Linked DNA regions of Caenorhabditis elegans. The protein of the gene in region 1 interacts with the protein of each later gene in a pairwise test. Each region holds a gene or a part of one and is shown in the gene's direction. Other genes may lie near its edges.

Region 1 (6,372 bases):
AAAGTCGAAGGCTTTTGAAGAAAATTCCTCGAAAACTGGTGTCCACAATTTTTTATCAGAATTTTCATTATCAAATTCGAATTCACCGCTATTTTCTTAGTCTAAACCTCAATTTTCAGCCCAAAATCCGAAAATTGCGTAAAATCGAGTGTTTTGGGGTACTGTAGCTGGTGTTTGCGTACTTTTGACGCTACAGTAACCCTCAAAATTTAAAAATTGAGCTGGGAAGCTCTAGTTCTCGAGTTTCTGACTGAAATTTTAAGAGGAATTCGAATTTACAATTCAAATTCAGAAATTATCAAGTAATTTTGACACGCGCTGCGGTCGCGTCGCGGCTCGAAACTCGAAAATGTTTAAAATAACGCTAGAAAAGTCTAGTTTTTTTGCAACTTATTTAGAATTTAATGGAGAATTCAAATTTCTAATGGAATTATAAAAAAAAGAAATCTCAGAATTTATAGAAAATGTCTCCCGGTAACACAATTTCCGTGATATTTCTCGTGTTTTTATGTAAATTTTTGAACTCTCCACAAAATTCCCAAAGTTTTGACACCCATATCGACTAGATTCGGTCAAAAACCCAGGGTTTTGGCTTTTTAACGTGCGTTGCGGTCGCGTCGCGGCTCGAAACTCGAAAATCTTCAAATTTAAGCTACAAACCTCTAGTTTTCGATTTTCTCACTGATTTTTCGCAGGGATTTCGATTTTGCCGATGAAAATTTAGGTTTTCTGAGTTTTAGCGACGAAAATTTTCTTTTTTTTCCAAATTTTTATTTTCCAGGTAGACGTGCTCCTCTTCAACCCACCGTACGTCCCTACTGACGAAGAGCCCAAATCAAACATCGAATTGACCTACGCTGGCGGCCGAACCGGTAGATCAACGCTCGATCGTCTTTTGCCACGTGTCCCCGAGCTTCTGTCCCCACGTGGTGTCTTCTATCTCGTCGCACTTCACTCGAACGATATCCCGGCACTGCTCAAAGAGCACTCGGAGCAAATGACGGTGTCAGTGTCAATGGAGCGCCGTTGCGGCATCGAACATTTGTATATTTTGAAATTTGTGATGAAGGAGAATAATGTTAAAGCGGCGCCACTTGCGGAAATTGAATAAATTTGTTGTTTTTCTTGGATTTTCGATAAAATTCACGGAACTTCAATAAAAAATCTGAAACCACTGCATAATTTCAGTTTGTATTCGAGAAAACTAGACGTTTCTAGCGATAATTTGAAAATGACCACTGCAAGGCCGCGACGCGACCGCAACGCACCACAAAAACCTTTTTATTGACGAATTCGAATTCTCCACTATTCAATTAGTCTCTCCATAAATTTTTAGCTTAAAATTCGAAAATCGCGTAAAATCGTGTGTTTGGGGGTACTGTAGTCGGTGTTTGCGTACTTCCGGGGCTACAGTAACCCGGGAAACTCCAAAATTGAGCTAGAGAGCTCTAGTTTTCGAGTTTCAGGCTGAAATTTTGCAAGGAATTCGAATTTTACGGTGAAAATCTAAAATTTTGCGATTCAGATCATTTTTAGACAGTTTTAAAAAACTAAAAAAATTCTGATCTGCTTAAAAACTTTTTGCCACATTTTCCAAATCTTCTCAATAGCTCGAATGTGATTGTTCCTAATTTCAAATAAATTTTCAAATGTGAAATCATCTTCTGACTTGAGTTTTCAGTCAGTTTCTAGTCACTTGTGACTTCCAGGCCACAGAAAAGCACAAGAAGCACACACATTTTTGTGCGATTTTGTGTGGAAAGTGACCAAAAAGTCAGTAGCTGGCTAGAATCACAGGCTACTGATAAGAAAATGACTTCATCAGTACAAATTGAACTGATTTCTAGCTTATCAGTATACGAGTATTTAAGTTGAAAATGAGAAAGGAGGAGTAGTCTACACATAATGTCTATAGCCTGGAGTTGCTTTGTTTTAGGGCTTTTTGGTGAGTTTTTGATTTTATAAACTTAAAAAAAAAAAATTTTCCAAAAAAATTTAGAATGTTTTCTATTTTTTTCTTAAATGTCCACTAAAAAATTTAATTTTCCACTTCATTTCTAGCTAAACACAAAAAACTAGACCTCTCTAGGTCCATTTTGAAGATTTTAGTATTTGAACCGCGACACGACCGCAACGCACCCCAAAATCCTAAAATTCTTGGATTTCATCCGAATATAGTCGATATGGGTGTCAAAACTCAGCAAATTTCACCAGGAACTTGATTTTTATTACCTAAAAAAGTTACGATATACCGTTTTTCCAAAAAAAAAACTTTTCTTTAATTTATCTTTAAAAATTTTTGAAAACAATATTAAACAATTTTTTCAGCACTCAATTCGAAAGCCAATTCAACTCAAAATTTTAATATTAATACAAAAAACTAGACCACTCTAGCTCCATTTTGAAAATTCCCATATTTGAGCCGCGACGCGACCGCAGCGCACCCCAAAATCCTATAATTCTTCGATTTTGTCCAAATATAGTCAATATGGGTGTCAAAACTCAGAAAATTTCATGACTAATTCGAATTTTTCAACGAAAAATTCAAATTTTTCAGCCCTCGCCTCCCTCCAGGTGGCACTCGCCAATGATTGCGCCCAAAAAACCTTCAAAACCGGAATTGTGTGTGTCTGCAACATAACTTATTGCGATGAGATCCCAGATATCAACTTACTATCCGGGCAGGCTGCCACATTCACAACTTCCAAATCCGGAGCCCGACTGCATCGGGATGTGGTTTATGCGACAAATAGTGACCCTTGTAAGCAACTTTTTTTTTGAAAATTTTTACCGTAATCTCAAAAACTACAGTAACCAGCATGCACTTCACAATTGACTCGTCAAAAACATATCAGACAATCCAAGGATTTGGCTCAACGTTTTCCGATGCTTCTGGTGCGAATTTGAAGAGCTTACCCGATCAGATGGCTGATACAATTCTGAGACAGTATTTTTCGGATTCTGGTAAGTTATTCGATAGAAAATTCAAATCTCTACAACTTTCCCTCTTGAACCAACATTCTAGGACCAATTTGAAGAAAGTTATAGCAATAGTTCAATGGAGCGCGTTTGCACCATCGAAATTTTTTGCCAATTTTCAATTCCTTGTAACTTTGTTCAACGGAAAGCTACGAAGTTGGTGCAAACTGGAAAATAGTAGATCATAACATTTTCTATCGATTGACATAAATTTTGAATAAAATCTGTGAGGTTTTGCAAGTGCGCTCCATTGAAATTTGGCTATAACTTTGCTCAACGTAGTAATAGAGCGTTGGTTCAAGAAGCGAATATGTAGAACATTAAAATTTATATAAAAATGCAACTGCGCTCCATTGAACTTTTTACCTAACTTTGCTATTTCAGGCCTGAACCTGCAATTCGGACGGGTTCCAATTGCCAGCAATGACTTTTCAAGTCGTGTCTACACTTATGACGATAACCTTGAAGACTACAATATGGCACATTTTAGCCTGCAAAGGGAAGACTATCAGTGGAAGGTACTATTAGGCCTATTAACAAAAAAAGACTGAAAGTTTCAGATTCCGTATATGCAAATGGCGCAGAAGTACAACCACGATTTGAAGTTTTTCGCCGTGCCGTGGAGTGCGCCAGGTACGGAATTTTCCAGAGTTTTTTATGCCATTTGATAGAAAATTTCTTGATCTACAAATTTGCCTCTTGAACCAATTTTCTAGGACGCCGCTAAGTAAAGTTATGTCAAAAGTTCAGTGGAGCGCACTTTCACTAAATCTCAAAATACGCATATGCGCTCCATTGAACTTTCTGCATAACTTTTTTCAACGGGGTCCTATGAAGTTGGCACAAGAGACAAACTTGTAGATCGTAACATTTTCTATCGAATGACATACATTCCGACAAGCTAGTGCAAACGCGCTCTACCGAACTCCCCCCTGAAATCTATTTATTTCCGCTTCCAGGCTGGCTAAAAACCACGAATTCCACCAAAGGGTACGGTATCCTACTAGGCACCAATCAAGACACCTACCACAAATCCTACGTCACTTATATCTTACATTTCTTGGAAGAATATCAGAAAAATGGGATTCTCTTCTGGGGCTTGTCAACTCAAAATGAGCCAACTAGCGGAAGTGATAAGAAGACTAAAATGCAATCAATGGGATTCACGGCGGAATTTCAAAGAGATTTTATTAAGCTTGACATTGGACCAGCGCTGAAATCTTCGAATGCTGGAAAAAATGTGAAAATTCTGATTTTGGACGATAATCGTGGAAACTTGCCAAAATGGGCAGACACTGTGAGTTGTAGTGTTGAAATTTGAAATCTCCGTAAAATTTGCAAAGTTTTGAACCCCATATTGACCTATTTCTGAGCAGTTTGAAATTTTGGACTTGCGTTGCGGTCGCGTTGCGGTCGCGTCGCGGTCAGATTTTCTGAAAGGCTGATTTCTGGCGAAATCCGAGCGAATTTTGAACTGAAAATTTGTGGCTAGACTAAATAAATTATGGGGAATTCGAATTTGACAATGAAATCATCGAAAAAGTTTCAAAATTTAAATTTTCCAGGTTCTCAATGACAAGGACGCAGCAAGTTACGTCTCCGGAATCGCCGTACACTCTTACCAGGACGACGAAAGTGACAAACATCTTACACAAACCCACAATAACCACCCAGATGTGTTCATTTTTGGTACAGAGGTGGGTTTTGGGTCTCACCACGACTTTTTTGTATGATAAAATAGAGCAAAAGTTTTTGCGGAACGAATTTCCAAGTGATACCAATTTATTGATTTTTCAGGCAAGCGAGGGGTCTAAATCGAAGGATGTGGATTATGGTAGCTTCGATCGAGCAGAAGACTATGTTTCGGACATTTTAGATGTTAGTTTTATAAAATAAGCAATAAATTATCGATTTTTATCTCACAGGATTTCAATAATTGGGTTACCGGATGGACGGAGCGTAACCTGGTGCTAGATGCTCAAGGTGGACCGTCCTGGGTTTCGGGATTCGCGGATGCTCCGGTCATTGCGTTCCCCGCATTGGCTCAATTCTACAAGCAGCCCATGTTTTATGCAATTGCACATTTTAGGTAGGTTTCTATAGGTTTTTGCGAAAAATTACTGAAATATTTGAATTTTCCGTTAAAATTGGGTCTAGAAAATCTGAAATTTGAAATTTTATGGGAGATATTTTGAAAATTCCAATTTATAGCTGAAAATTGTCTGAAAATGTCCGAAAATTAGCTTAAATCTCATTTTATTTTAGTTTTCATAGAGAAATTCAAATTCCTCGTCAAATTTCAGCTTAAAACTCAAAAACTAGAAGTTTCTAGCTCAATTCTGAATTTTAGTGGGTTACTGTAGCTCCAAAAATACGCAAACACCGACTACAGTACCCCCAAAACATCGAATTTGACGCGGTTTTCCGAATTTTGAGCTGAAATATCAGGGAAAACGTATGTTAAAAAATAATGGGAAATGGAAAAGAAACTCGAAAAAAAAAATTTTAGGGAAAAAAAATTTCGAAAAAAAAAAATTCCAAAAATTTTTTTAAAAAATTTTTCTCCGTCAATTTCCCAACACATTTTCCAATTTTCAGTCATTTTCTGAAGCCCGGAGCAGTTCGAATCGACCATTCACTGAACATGCCAAACCCAGAAATTGAACGAAGTGCATTTTTGAATCCGGATGGCTCAAAAGTCGTGGTGCTCCATAATAAAAATCCTTTGGCACCATATAGTTTATCAATTAAGGATACTATGAAGTCTACTGATCATTATCAAGTTCATTTATCACCTAAAACAATTGTTACGTTGTATATTCAAAATTAGAATAAAATATCAATTTTTTAAAATTTTATTTTTGAAAAATTTAAAAAATCGTGTTGAAACCTGAACTTTTAGTGTAAAAATTTGAATTATTCATTCAATTTCTGAAATTTTAAGCCCCATATCGACTAGAATCGGTTCACTTTGAAATTTGAGCCCCGCGGCGCGGTCGCATCGCGGTCCAAAACTACTAAAATTTAAAAATTGTTTAATACATGCCAATATGGGTGTTAAATGGATGGAAATTTTTAGAAAAATTCGAAAACATGCATAAAAAAGTTTAAAACTATAGGTAAGATGAGTTTTCGATTTTCGACCGCGACGCGACCGCGCCGCTTTCAAAAATTTAAGTTTTATATTGCCTCAAATCATAGCATTGCAGGTGTCAAAGTGATGCAAAATAGCTTGAAACTTAAATTATTCGAACAGACATCCTCTAAAAACGTGGAAAACTTTTTATCTAGCGACTTTTTAGTCTGGACCGCGACGCGACCGCGCCGCGTCCCAAAAACCACCAAAATTTCAAACTGCTTCAAAACATGTCAATATGGGGGTCAAATTGACGC
Region 2 (2,604 bases), on another chromosome or scaffold:
CACCAAAATTGTTGGGTATCAACGTGTATTGACCCACGACGTGGCTAAAAAGATCGTACAACGTGAACTCTATGAACTAGCTTATTTATTCCTTAGTTTAATGTAATAATAAACTACTCGTCTTCGCCTCCTCGTTCTGCCTCAATACATAACAATCTGCCTCAATACATTAAGTTGTCTCTGAGCACAAATAGGCCGATATATTTCCAAACGCAATACGTTTTTTAAAAATCATATTTGTATTACTTACTTGCGTACATAATGTAAAACGTCTCACACGGTTAATGTCTCTACTACGTATTAGGTGTAGGCACCGGTAGGCACTCTGGTAAGGAATAGAATTCCTGATTCGATATGATGTTCTTCAAAAATGTATTTTATTTTATAGGGCCCGCTCAGAAAACTTCAGAAAGTGTAAATCACTTCTAGTGGACTGTTTTTGAGCTCAGGGTTTAGAATTCAAGTTTGATTGGTACGCATGAAAAATTATATTAGATAAATTACAATAAATTTATTGAAACTTTTAAAGAAAATCTATTGATAAGAATTATTGACTGAAAATTTAAACATCATGTCTATAGAAGTCAGTAGTCGATGTTCCACTCTTGGATACAAATTGAACTTCTTTCTCGAGAACCTTGATTACTGTAGTTTGGGCATGGTCTTCTACTCTCAAAGTGTGTTTTTTCCAATCAGCCCCATCTGGATGTCCACTACGCCAAGCTTCACCGAGAATACGAACCTTTCCATCAACCACTCCATTCTTATCGTCTACTGTAAATTAATTCCTTCAAAACTATCAAAATATAAGTTAACTTACAGTTTGTCTCAATCTGTTTGATTCCATGAACCTTCCAATTATCAGTACCAGTTGTAAATGGTCCAGTGTTGTAGTGAACTTTCTCCAGAATTTGGGCACTTTGGTTTGGCTCCAATTTCACCCATTTTGAAGCTTCCAATGCATTGCCGGTATACTGATGAAGCACTTGGAACTTGAACACATGGTCACTTTTGTTCTCAATATCCACTTTGGCCCATTGTTCTGTCACACCTGATGGTTCGTCGCTTGCCATTTCTTGAAACGTTGAAGAGAATCGACTCACTTGAGTTTCGATTGATTTCGTGTATTTCCAACTGACTTTAAAAAGCAGTTCAAGTGGGTGGAGTTAAGCACATTACTTGTCAATAGATAATGTTTCAATACTGATATAAAACCTTTGGTCTATGCTTATCTGTCATTACTTTGTGTTCTTTGTCATTTTCAAGCAACGTGTCTGCGGTTTTGACGTCAAGAAACCAAAGGTGTACCAAAAGAAAGCACAACTTTATGATCAATTTTCATGATCATAGTTCATGCTACATGAAACTAACAGGCAAACTGTTCAATTTCATGTTCTTTATCAATTTCACAAACAATCAAACCACAAAAATAGTCAAAGAGAGAAGATCACTTGCATTCCTTATCAATAACTCCACCTCCTCGTTTAGTTTAAAATGGTTACCGTATCAACTGATAATTCAGATCGTTTCTTGACTGAAAACTGATCATGTCGACTGATCCAACTCCACCACAACTCACGAGACGCACTGCAAAGGTTTCAATTGATAATCAGACTGGAAGTCACTTCAAGTTTCAAGTGACACATAAATACACTGGATGGGATGCGGATAAGTCTGATGTTGTGATGTTCCAGCCTGATGAAGTCAAGGAAATCTTCAAAAGTGTCGCCTATAACACTGGATTCTTGACAACTGGAGTTGACAATTGGCTAGTGGATGGTACGATGGTTCAGGAGAGAACTGGTTTGTGGAGTTTTATCTTTTGAGAATAAAGAACTTGAAATTTCAGAAGTGGATAACAAAGGTCACCAAATCGGAAAGAAATCCTACATAGAGCATGCGAAATTCATCAGTGACTCGAGATCATGGAAGCAGCATATGCTAACAGCTGAAGATGACGGAAAAACTACCACGATCCGTGTTTTCCCAACCGAAATTCACTTCATCTCTCCAAGTGGGGAATCGACTACCACTTTCACTAAATATTGATTTCATGTTTTATTTGTAGTTACTTTGAGTTTCTGTTTGAGCAGCGATATTCTTCGTAGGAGTACTTTTCTTAAGCTTTTTTTTTTGAAATAAAATTCATTCTCAAAACTATTTCCAAGCAAAGCTAATTTTTGATTGAAGCTAGATAATTGTCATCAACAGTAATTGTAGAATTTTAGCTTTTTCTGTATTAGGAAATCTACCGTTTCAACCTTTTATACACTTTTCTATCTTTCCACTATGTCCAATTTCTTTTTACAAATATAACAAATATACGACAGCGCAAATGGGAACTAGGACTTGCACTCGTGACTCCCAGGTTGCGAACGGCCACCACAACCGACTGAGCTATCCCGACCCAGGTGCATATTTTCGAATGGCTAAATATTTTCAAATTACTGAACGAATGTTGTCAGTGAAAATTGTCTATTAATTTGGCTGAAAAATATTTTTATAAAAATACAAAATCAGGTCAGGTATTCAGATCAGTCTCAAACTTGATTCAATCGAGCCAATGAATAAAATAGTTGACTGAAAATCATTCCTGAGAACTTT
Region 3 (4,430 bases), on another chromosome or scaffold:
AGTCCATCTAACCGACAAACTCCAAAACTCTTGAATCCAAAAATTTCAGATAAAAAAATCGAAAAACCGACAAATTTCTGGAACTGCCTTTGAAGAATGCTTTTAAAAAATTGCGTTGAAAAATTCAGTCAGTTACATTTTTTTCGCAAATTAATTGTATAAATCTATTGAAATTATAAATAAGATCATCGGATTGATTAAATAAAGTATTTAAGCAGACCCATACTTGTTATTAATATGAAACAGTAAAACCAAATTGCAATATTTCTTTAATTGTCAGTACTAAACAAAATCTACATACTTAAACATCAAAATGCTGGAAAATTAGAGAAAGTGCTGAATTTTTCTGAAAATCAGGAAAAAGTTTAGAAGTGTCTTGTTGTACGGAAATTTGGAGAGAAATTGAAAATTTGATCAACTGATTTTTGGTTTGATCTGGTTTTTTAACTCCTGAACATTTTAAAATGATTGGAAATAATAAAACAATAGAACAGATTTTTTCTAGATTGTCGCTTAAAAATTGCTAAATTAATTATTTTATGAAATCACTGTTTCAAAACATTCGTTTTGGTGATAACTATTTTCAACCAACAATGTTTGAAGCAAATTGCGCAATTTTTTTTCAATCTGGGTGAAATGATTTTGAGCGGAAATTTTCAGTAAGTGGTGTGGAATGAAACTGGAACAAAAGATGGGAAAAATATTAAAGTTCACAAACAGTGAAATTTCGTTTCATCTCAAACAGGCCAGCAAATCTGAAACCGGAAGTCTTTTCGTCTTCACGTTTCTAATAAAATTAATTCAACAAAAACAAACAGGTCTAATCAAATCTTAAGTTTAATGCTGAATTGAAATTGAATCATTTATTGGGTACCAGGGCTATGACGTCATACTTGGTGTTCCAACGGTTTTTCAACTCTTTCGAAAGTTGGTACATATACATCGCCTCCTTTCAATGACCCTATGACGTCCCTGTTCATCCAGACATATCGATTTCCCAGACGAAAACTTGCTCTTGGCAAAGACGAAGGATAGAACAACACAGCGTCCTCTGTTTTTGTTCTTACAATCATTTTTATAGACCTGCCATCTATTTTGATGTTTTTGTCTTATTTGCTCTTTACATTACTTGTACGGTCTCTAAATATATTTTCCTTACTCCAAAAATTTTCTGTTTCATGAAATCTATTTAAATTCTTATAATTATAATGGCGGTAGTAGAGCCATCGTTCATCGAATTTTTTTTTTACAGTTTCATAGGTTTCATTAAAACAATCAAATTTAATGCACTAACGCTGCGGAAGAATACCGAGTAGTTTAGGCTTAATTTATTATGACACTTGAAAAGTAAGCGAATTCATCAATTTTTATTAGGGAAATTCGATAAAATTTTAGCCTATAATATGTTCAACTTTGGCAGTTTACATCTATCTTGGTTATGGGTTATCAAAAAATTTCAACTGCAAAGGTTTTGATTATCTAATTTTCTACATATTTGCATTAAAAATTTTAATTTCAAAAATGAACCAAGCTGCTATAGTGGAGGTTCAAGATGTAATCCAATCAGTCACCAATTTTTCACTGTTTCATGAAAATTATCAATTTCATTATTTTTAATGTTTTTGTTGATAGTGGCGGATAAAATGAGAGCAATCTAGTAATAACATTTTTCTGTTACATTCTTATTTCTCAGAAATTCGTGCATTTTTAAATGAGTTTATTAATTCATTACCAGTTTTTAGTGACAGTTAAAATATCTACAAAAGTGTTAACCCAAATTTTTTTGTAACACAATTTCCTTCTGTTTTATAATGTCTGTTTAAGCTCTAATGTCAAACGTTTTTAATCGATTCGTATAATGCAGAAATCAGTTCTATAAACACTAAAGTAGCCTAAAAATATCTAAAACAGCTGCCCAGATTAATTTTTTTTGTTCAAATAAATTTTCAGTTAATTTTATTTTAATTTTCTCTATTACTCATCCACTGAATTATCGATTTTCAGAAAAATGAGCTACTTATCAGCAATCGAGAACCAGGAGAACATGGTTGTCAAGCAAGAAATCAAAATTGAGGAGGAAGACGACGATTATCCCCTGAGCACAATTGATATGGTTAGTTAAGTAATCAGCACTTTTCTCAATTCTTTAAAATACTTTTTGAATTTTTGTTCTAGTTCTGAGCTGAAAATTTGTTCAAATTTAATCAAAATTTCTCGGTTTTAAGCTCCATCAAAAGGCAGCAAATAGGCTTCAGGCCGACACGTAGGCAAGCATTTATTAAAATTCAGGCAGTACAAGCTCTGATCCGTAACCCACATCACAACGTGGACTACATCTGTGGAGTGATGATATTTGGAGGATCAAAGAATCAGTTTAATGAGTTGCTCAATCCTGTAGTGGTGGCTCAAATGAGCAAGCAGAGAAAACAAAAGAAGGTTCCAGTAAAGAATCCAGCAGGAGAAGCCAAGAGAGGAAGAGGACGCCCAAGAAAACAGAGTTCAGAGGAGAAGGTGCAGATTCCAAAGGTAGTTGTGAAATTTGAGCCAAAGAAGCGTGGAAGACCAGCTGGAGCAGCGAAATGGAGCCAGGAGGTAGCTGTAGTGCTCCAAAAGCAGCCACAGAGGAAAAGAGGACGGCCTCTGAAAATTGCGAAAAAGATTGAGCCGGTGTTTCATCAGAAAAAGGAAAGTAAACAGGTTAGTGTTTAAAAAAAATTTCATAATGTTTCACTGAAACAGTAAAGTTTTCAACTTTTGTGAAATTGTCAATTCGAAGGATACATGACCAAAAAATTAGAAATTTTTAAATTAAATTAAGAAATAAAAGTGGAGTTTCGGATTGAATTTATATTTTAAAATCCTAATCTATCAAAAAAATTTGATTTCTCAGAAAAAAACCATTGTTCGACACTTTCATTGCCAGAGAATATTTTGTATTTTTTATTTTTAGAATTTTTTCAGGCCTAATTTTTTAGCTTAATTTTTTGAATTAAAAAATTTTCTAGAAGTTGCAAAAATTCTTCAATTCTTGAAAATTGAAAAAAAATGCTTTGGAATTCTGAAACTTTTCGCAATAAAAAAACTTAATTAAATTTGGAAAATTAGACTACTAAAAATGTAGGATTTTAGAATTTCTAGAATTTTTAAATTTAAAATTTTTAATATTTAATTTCTAGAGTTTTTTAAATTCAGAACTCGGAGGAAAAGGCTCTGATTCAACAGGAAGCTGTGAAAGGTGAGCCAAAGAATCGTGGAAGACCATGTGGAGCAGCAGAAAGGAGCCGGGAGGTAGTCAAGAAGCTCCAGAAGCAGCCACCAAGGAAAAGAGGAAGGCCTCTGAAAATCGCAAAGAATATGGAGCCGGAGATTAATCAGAAAAAGGATACTAAACAGGTTAGTGTTTCAAAAAAAATTGAATAATGTTTCACGGAAGTAGTAAAGTTTCCAGTTTTTTTAAGGTTTCAATAAACTTCAATCAAAAAAAACAAAAATTACCACATATTTATCATTTCAAAACTGATAGTTTTTGAATTCTGAAATTTTGATTTTTTTTTTTGAAATCTTAATATTTTAGATGCCTACGTACCTGCCTAGGTTCTTGCAAAACTTAAAATATAATTTACAGAAAAAATGAAAGAGTTCAAATTAATTCTGCTTCATTACCGAATAAACAAAGTGTCAAAAAAATTAAAATTTATTAGTTCTTTATTTCGAAACTGTCCTAACTTTCAGGTCCATGTCTGCCCAATCTGCACTCTGGCAAGCAAGAACGGCACCTGTCTGTGCACAAAATGTCAAAAATGGGTACATTTGAAGTGTACTGGAATCCGGAGCAAACAGTGGAATTCGCAGTTTCAGTGCAAAAATTGTACATGCTGAAAATAATTGGACACATGTTTTATTTTTGTTTGTAGATTTTTAAAAATTAATAAAAAATCGAATAAATCCATTATTTGTTTTTCAATTTATAAAACTTGAATGACCATTCTGAAACAGTAAAAAATCTGTAAAATGTCGGCAGCTATGGTCATTGAATGACGGCTGCCTCTACCCGTTAAATGTTGGTTTTATGTACCTATGAGATGTCGGTTACACCTACCTGTAAGAGATCAGTCGCTGTATAGGTTAGCTGTTCATTTCTTCGATGTCATAAATATCAGCCATCTACACCCATTAATTGTCGGATGCTTAAATCCGCTAGATGTCGGTTGCTATGCCTATTCGTCATGAGCCAACAATGCCAGTGAGATGTCCGTGGCTATACCCGTGACATGTCAGCCGCTTATGTGATGCTTTCAAATCTGGAATTGCAAATCCTCCACGAAATCAGCGTGTTTGATCAGCTCGTTTGATATGCTTGAAAATTTATCAATATTATGAAACAGTATATTTTTCGTAAATTTTGAAATTTCTCTAAAACTTTGTAGTTG
Region 4 (4,576 bases), on another chromosome or scaffold:
GTCCCATTTCGGCTTGATCTACGTAGATCTACAAAAAATGCGGGAGAGTTCTCAACTGATTTTGCATGGTTAAGAACGTACTGACGTCACACATTTTTCTGGGAGAAAGATTCCCCCGCATTTTTTGTAGATCAAACCGTAATGGGACAGCTTGACACCACGTGTTTTCACCTGAATTACGATGAAATCAATTTTATTTCTGCGTAGGTTGAAAATTAAGATTGATGGCCACTATGGGACACTAGAAGAACCGGTTCCAAGAATTTTTTTTTTCGCCGAAATTGTTTTTTTTTCTTTCACTAGAAATATCGTGTGACCTTTAACAATTTTGATATTTTCTCATAAAATTGTATTATAATTCCTCATTTTTTGGCTGCTAAAACAGAAATTTAGCCAAAAAAAAAAAGAAAAAAAGCGTAAAAGTACGAGTATCTTCAGGCCTTCTGGGACCATTTTTGGCACGAAATGTGAGAATATTTTTTAGAAAAAAGATACACAGATCGTTAGTTTCGAAAAAAATTGCCTTATATCTCCAATTTTCGATTTTTTTTTTCGACTTCTCCGTCTCATAGCAGTGAGAAATTGATTTTTATTCAATTTCGCCGTTTTTTTTTGCAAATTTTTTGTTTTTATGCTACATTTTTTGTTGATTTAAGCACATTTAAAACTGATATATTACGGAAACACTGAATTCTGTGAATGCGTACTGCGCAACATATTTGACGCGCAAAATATCGTGTAGCGAAAACTTCAGTAATCCTTTAAATGACTACTGTAGAGCTGGTGGCGATTATAATTTTTCGAGAATCATTTTTAATCTAAGAAATATTTGAAGAACACAAAAATTAACAAATAATTCCTTGTGTTTTCGTTTAATATTTTATCGATTAAAAATGATTCTCGTAAAATTATAATCGCCATCAGCTCTACAGTAATCATTTAAAGACTTGCTGTAGTTTTCGCTACGAGATATTTTGCGCGTCAAATATGTTGTGCAATACGCAGCATTCTCAGAATTTAGTGTTTCCGTAATATATCAGCTTTAAATGTGCCTAAATCAACAAAAAAAACGTAAGATAAAAATCCAGATTTGCAACAAAAAAAAACACCCATTTTCCATTCTAAATCATCAGCCGATCGATCGATTTTTGCTAAAATCTGGAATTTCGCCATTTTTCCTTGTCGCGGCAACAAGGAAAAAATGGCGAAATTTTTGGATTTTTGGGTGAAATTACTTTTTTCCGGAGTTTTGAATCGGCATTAAAAACATTTTGAGCAATTTTTGAACAGTTTCGTTATGAAATTCGGTGTTTTTGAGTCATTTTTCACGCAATTTTTGTATTTCTATTGAAATTTATGAGGCACCACGTTTTCAAGATCTTTTCAAAAACAAGATCTACGAAAACAAGATCTACATTTTCAAGATCTACGAAAAAAATCCTAAACTAGACGCGAACAGATTTTGAAAACGTGGTGCCTCGAATTTCTTCTCAATATCCCTCTCCCACACCAATTTGCCATCCAAAATCGATTAAATTTCCAGCCGATCGATGGAAATCGATGGGGGTCCACCTCCATTCTGCGGCGTCGCTGTCGACGATTCCTATGACAAAAGTGAGCAGCACGAATACGATGAAGTCGACGATTCGCCCGACTCGACGAGCCTACCGCTTCCATCAGCATCAAGAAGTCGGTCGGTGACTCCTGTGAAGGATATGGCTGCCGGACATGAAGCTGTTCCAGAAGCATCTGATAATAATGAAAAGGGAGATACGGTAAGAAATATATATATATATATATGCTGAAATTAACGATTTCCGTAATGAAACTTCTCGAAAAAATTCAAAAATTTCCTTATAAAACTAGCTAATTTTAGCTTAAAATCTCCAATTTTTCGGGAAAAAAACTTCTAAAATTTTCTTAAAAAACTGGCTAATTTTAGCTTAAAATCTCCAATTTTCTATTTAAAAAAACATTTTTGTACCCAAAATGAAATAAAACAGTGTCAAATTACCGAATATAAATGTTTAAAAATTTATGGAATTTTCCTACATTTATTAAAAATACTTTTTCAGTTTTGCAACAAAAAAATAGGTAGAAAGAGTTGAATTATTTTTTTGTGCAAGTTCCCGCGCAAATGACGTCATTTTCGACATTTTCGATTTTTTACAGAAATTTTTCAGTTAAGAAAATCCTAAAATTGGCCTGAAAATCAATAATTTAACAGTAGAAAAACTTTTTCTTCGGAAAAATTTCCGAAAAAAATTGTGAAATTATGTTTCAAAATGAAAAATTGAAGAAAACCCTATCCGGATTTGCCGGAAATTTTGATTTTTGGCAAATCGCCGGTTTGCCGGAAATTTTCATTTTTGGCAAATTGCCGATTTACCGGAAATTTTGATTTTTGGCAAATTGCCGGTTTGCCGGAAATTTTCATTTTTGGCAAATTGCCGGTTTGCCGGAAATTTTCATTTTCGGTAAATTGCCGGTTTGCCGGAAATTTTGATTTGTGGAAAATTGCCGGTTTTGCCGATTTGCCGGAATTTTTCGTTTTCGGGAAATTGCCGGTTTGCCGGAATTTTTCGTTTTCGGGAAATTGCCGGTTTGCCGGAATTTTTCGTTTTCGGCAAATTGCCGGTGTTCCGATTTGCCGGAAATTTTCAATTCCGGCAATTTCGCCGATTTGCCAGAAAATGTCATTTTCGACAAATTGTCAGTTTGCCGATTTGCCGGAAAAATCGTTTGCCCCCGACCCCTGCTTTGAATTATGAACAAAAACCTTCAATCAACTTTAAAATAGCAATGCAACATTTTGAAATTAAAATTTGCAATCAATTTTTTTTGTCAAAAAATGTTCTAAAAATTGAACTAATTTTGCCAAAAATTTACCCCAAAAATCCCGTAATTTCAGATGACGACTGCATTATCACAGGACGAATTTACGGGATTTCAAAATTCGGAAATACAGAAAGAAGAAGACGATGACGACGATGAGTGGGGAGATTTTGGAGAAGCCGTTGTTGCTGCTGCACCAATTCAGGCGGTAAGAAAAAAAAGTTAAAACTTTATTGCAAAAAAAATACCAAAAAAAAAAAATAATAATAAACGTATATAAATAGGATTAGCATTGAGATTTTTTTTCAAGCGTGTAAATATTTCTGGAAATTAATTTATTAAATTTAAATTTATTCACTTCACAATTTGTGAGCAACAACGCTCGTCGTATCACCGAAAAACAGTTGCCGGGCAAACGCCGAGAAGCCGATATTCTCGAAAAAGTCTGCAATCCACACGGCCTCTTTCGATTCGCACGCCATTTTTGACATGGACGTTCCCATCAGAACCAATCGTGCGAATCTGCAACACGGGGATGAAATTGTGATCTATCAGTGCCGGGGGCTAAAAATTTTGGTAAATTGCCGAACTTTTGGTACATTCTCAAAATTTTAATAAATTGCCAATTTTTTGATAAATTGCCTAAATTTTGGGAAATGTTCAAAATTTTGGTAAATTCTTAAAATTTTGGTAAATTGCCAATTTTTTAATAAATTGCCAAAACTTTTGGAGGCACCACCGAAAGGAGAACATGTGAAAAAGGAGAATTACGAAAAGGAGAACACAAAACCACGCCCATTTTTCCATGCCGCGCGCAAGTTTTTGCAGAAACTTGTGCAAATTTTTATTTTCAAACGAGATAACGCGAAGCTCCGAAAGAACGTATCGCGTGTTGTTTATCACACGAATTCGTTAGTTCGGATCTTCGTTGTCTCGTTTGAAAATAAAAATTTGCACAAGTTTATGCAAAAACTTGCGCTCGGCACGGATAAATAGGCGTGGTTTTGTGTTCTCCTTTTCGTAATTCTCCTTTTTCACATGTTCTCGTTTCCGTGGTGCCTCCCAAAATTGTGAGAATTTTTCCAAAATTTTAGCATTTTACCAAAATGTTGAGAATTTACCAAAATTTTAGCATTTTACCAAAAATTTGAAAATTTAGCAAAATTTAGAGAATTTACCGAAATTTTGGTCAAAGTGTTCCAACTTAGCTTACTTAGCTAGTCCGCAACAAGACACATCAAATTGTGATCTATCAATGTTTGATTTGATCGACAAGCGAGTAATAGATGAATGCATCAAAGGAAGGAAAAACGTGATTTCACCAACCTTTCGATTGCCGTGTCCACGTCGTCTTTCATGGCCATGTAGCCGTATAACTGCTTGGTGATGCGGACTCGTTCGTTGTTCACAAGCTTGCGAGCCGGTAGAGAGATGTCAGCGTCTGGAATCGCATCAAAGTGAAAGTTTGGCTCTTATTGAGATTCCGCCCGGACCTGGATTCAGAAACGTTACCGCTTTGAACGCTGCAAATTCGGTTGCGTCGAGCTGTAGATCACGGAACGGCTTGAGCACGAGATCCAACATTTGATACTTTTTCCTGTTGAGTCCGGCTGGCCTATAACGATTGAACACAACGCGGAACGAGACGGGAATTGGGGCTCGGTTTGGAGTATATGTGACCGACAACTTACCGGGTTGGCTCTGGAGTACGATCGAAGTAGGCACCATCTGGGAATACAAT

What was found.
Region 2: the proteins of gba-2 (region 1) and pud-1.2 interact in a two-hybrid assay, tested with the Caenorhabditis elegans proteins (one large-scale study listed by BioGRID).
Region 3: the proteins of gba-2 (region 1) and athp-3 interact in a two-hybrid assay, tested with the Caenorhabditis elegans proteins (one large-scale study listed by BioGRID).
Region 4: the proteins of gba-2 (region 1) and Y45G5AM.9 interact in a two-hybrid assay, tested with the Caenorhabditis elegans proteins (one large-scale study listed by BioGRID).

What each region holds. Positions count from the first base shown.
Region 1 is NC_003280.10:2,181,955-2,188,326, reverse strand, and holds gba-2 (Putative glucosylceramidase 2), read left to right. Parts: upstream 1-1,892; 5' UTR 1,893-1,905; coding exon 1,906-1,945; intron 1,946-2,557; coding exon 2,558-2,761; intron 2,762-2,811; coding exon 2,812-2,964; intron 2,965-3,363; coding exon 3,364-3,497; intron 3,498-3,539; coding exon 3,540-3,612; intron 3,613-3,938; coding exon 3,939-4,276; intron 4,277-4,544; coding exon 4,545-4,676; intron 4,677-4,776; coding exon 4,777-4,857; intron 4,858-4,904; coding exon 4,905-5,068; intron 5,069-5,577; coding exon 5,578-5,809; 3' UTR 5,810-5,833; downstream 5,834-6,372. Other genes in the region: mtq-2 (Methyltransferase HEMK2), read left to right, coding at 782-1,111. UniProt on the Caenorhabditis elegans protein: Glucosylceramidase that catalyzes the hydrolysis of glucosylceramides into free ceramides and glucose. C.elegans contain specific sphingoid bases, which are unique or different in structure compared to the sphingoid bases found in other animals.
Region 2 is NC_003283.11:2,321,483-2,324,086, reverse strand, and holds pud-1.2 (Up-regulated in Daf-2 domain-containing protein), read left to right. Parts: upstream 1-1,520; 5' UTR 1,521-1,547; coding exon 1,548-1,803; intron 1,804-1,849; coding exon 1,850-2,049; downstream 2,050-2,604. Other genes in the region: pud-2.2 (Up-regulated in Daf-2 domain-containing protein), read right to left, coding at 563-774, 821-1,073.
Region 3 is NC_003282.8:17,045,932-17,050,361, reverse strand, and holds athp-3 (Zinc finger PHD-type domain-containing protein), read left to right. Parts: upstream 1-2,004; 5' UTR 2,005-2,008; coding exon 2,009-2,113; intron 2,114-2,289; coding exon 2,290-2,697; intron 2,698-2,769; exon of another isoform or gene 2,770-2,790; intron 2,791-3,192; coding exon 3,193-3,393; intron 3,394-3,465; exon of another isoform or gene 3,466-3,486; intron 3,487-3,698; exon of another isoform or gene 3,699-3,719; intron 3,720-3,732; coding exon 3,733-3,879; 3' UTR 3,880-3,892; downstream 3,893-4,430.
Region 4 is NC_003283.11:4,188,483-4,193,058, reverse strand, and holds the start of Y45G5AM.9 (Aftiphilin clathrin-binding box domain-containing protein), read left to right. Parts: upstream 1-1,543; 5' UTR 1,544-1,550; coding exon 1,551-1,775; intron 1,776-2,911; coding exon 2,912-3,043; intron 3,044-3,050; exon of another isoform or gene 3,051-3,194; coding exon of another isoform or gene 3,195-3,357; intron 3,358-4,048; exon of another isoform or gene 4,049-4,161; coding exon of another isoform or gene 4,162-4,276; intron 4,277-4,328; coding exon of another isoform or gene 4,329-4,450; intron 4,451-4,526; coding exon of another isoform or gene 4,527-4,576. Other genes in the region: nhr-114 (Nuclear hormone receptor 114), read right to left, coding at 3,195-3,357, 4,162-4,276, 4,329-4,450, 4,527-4,576.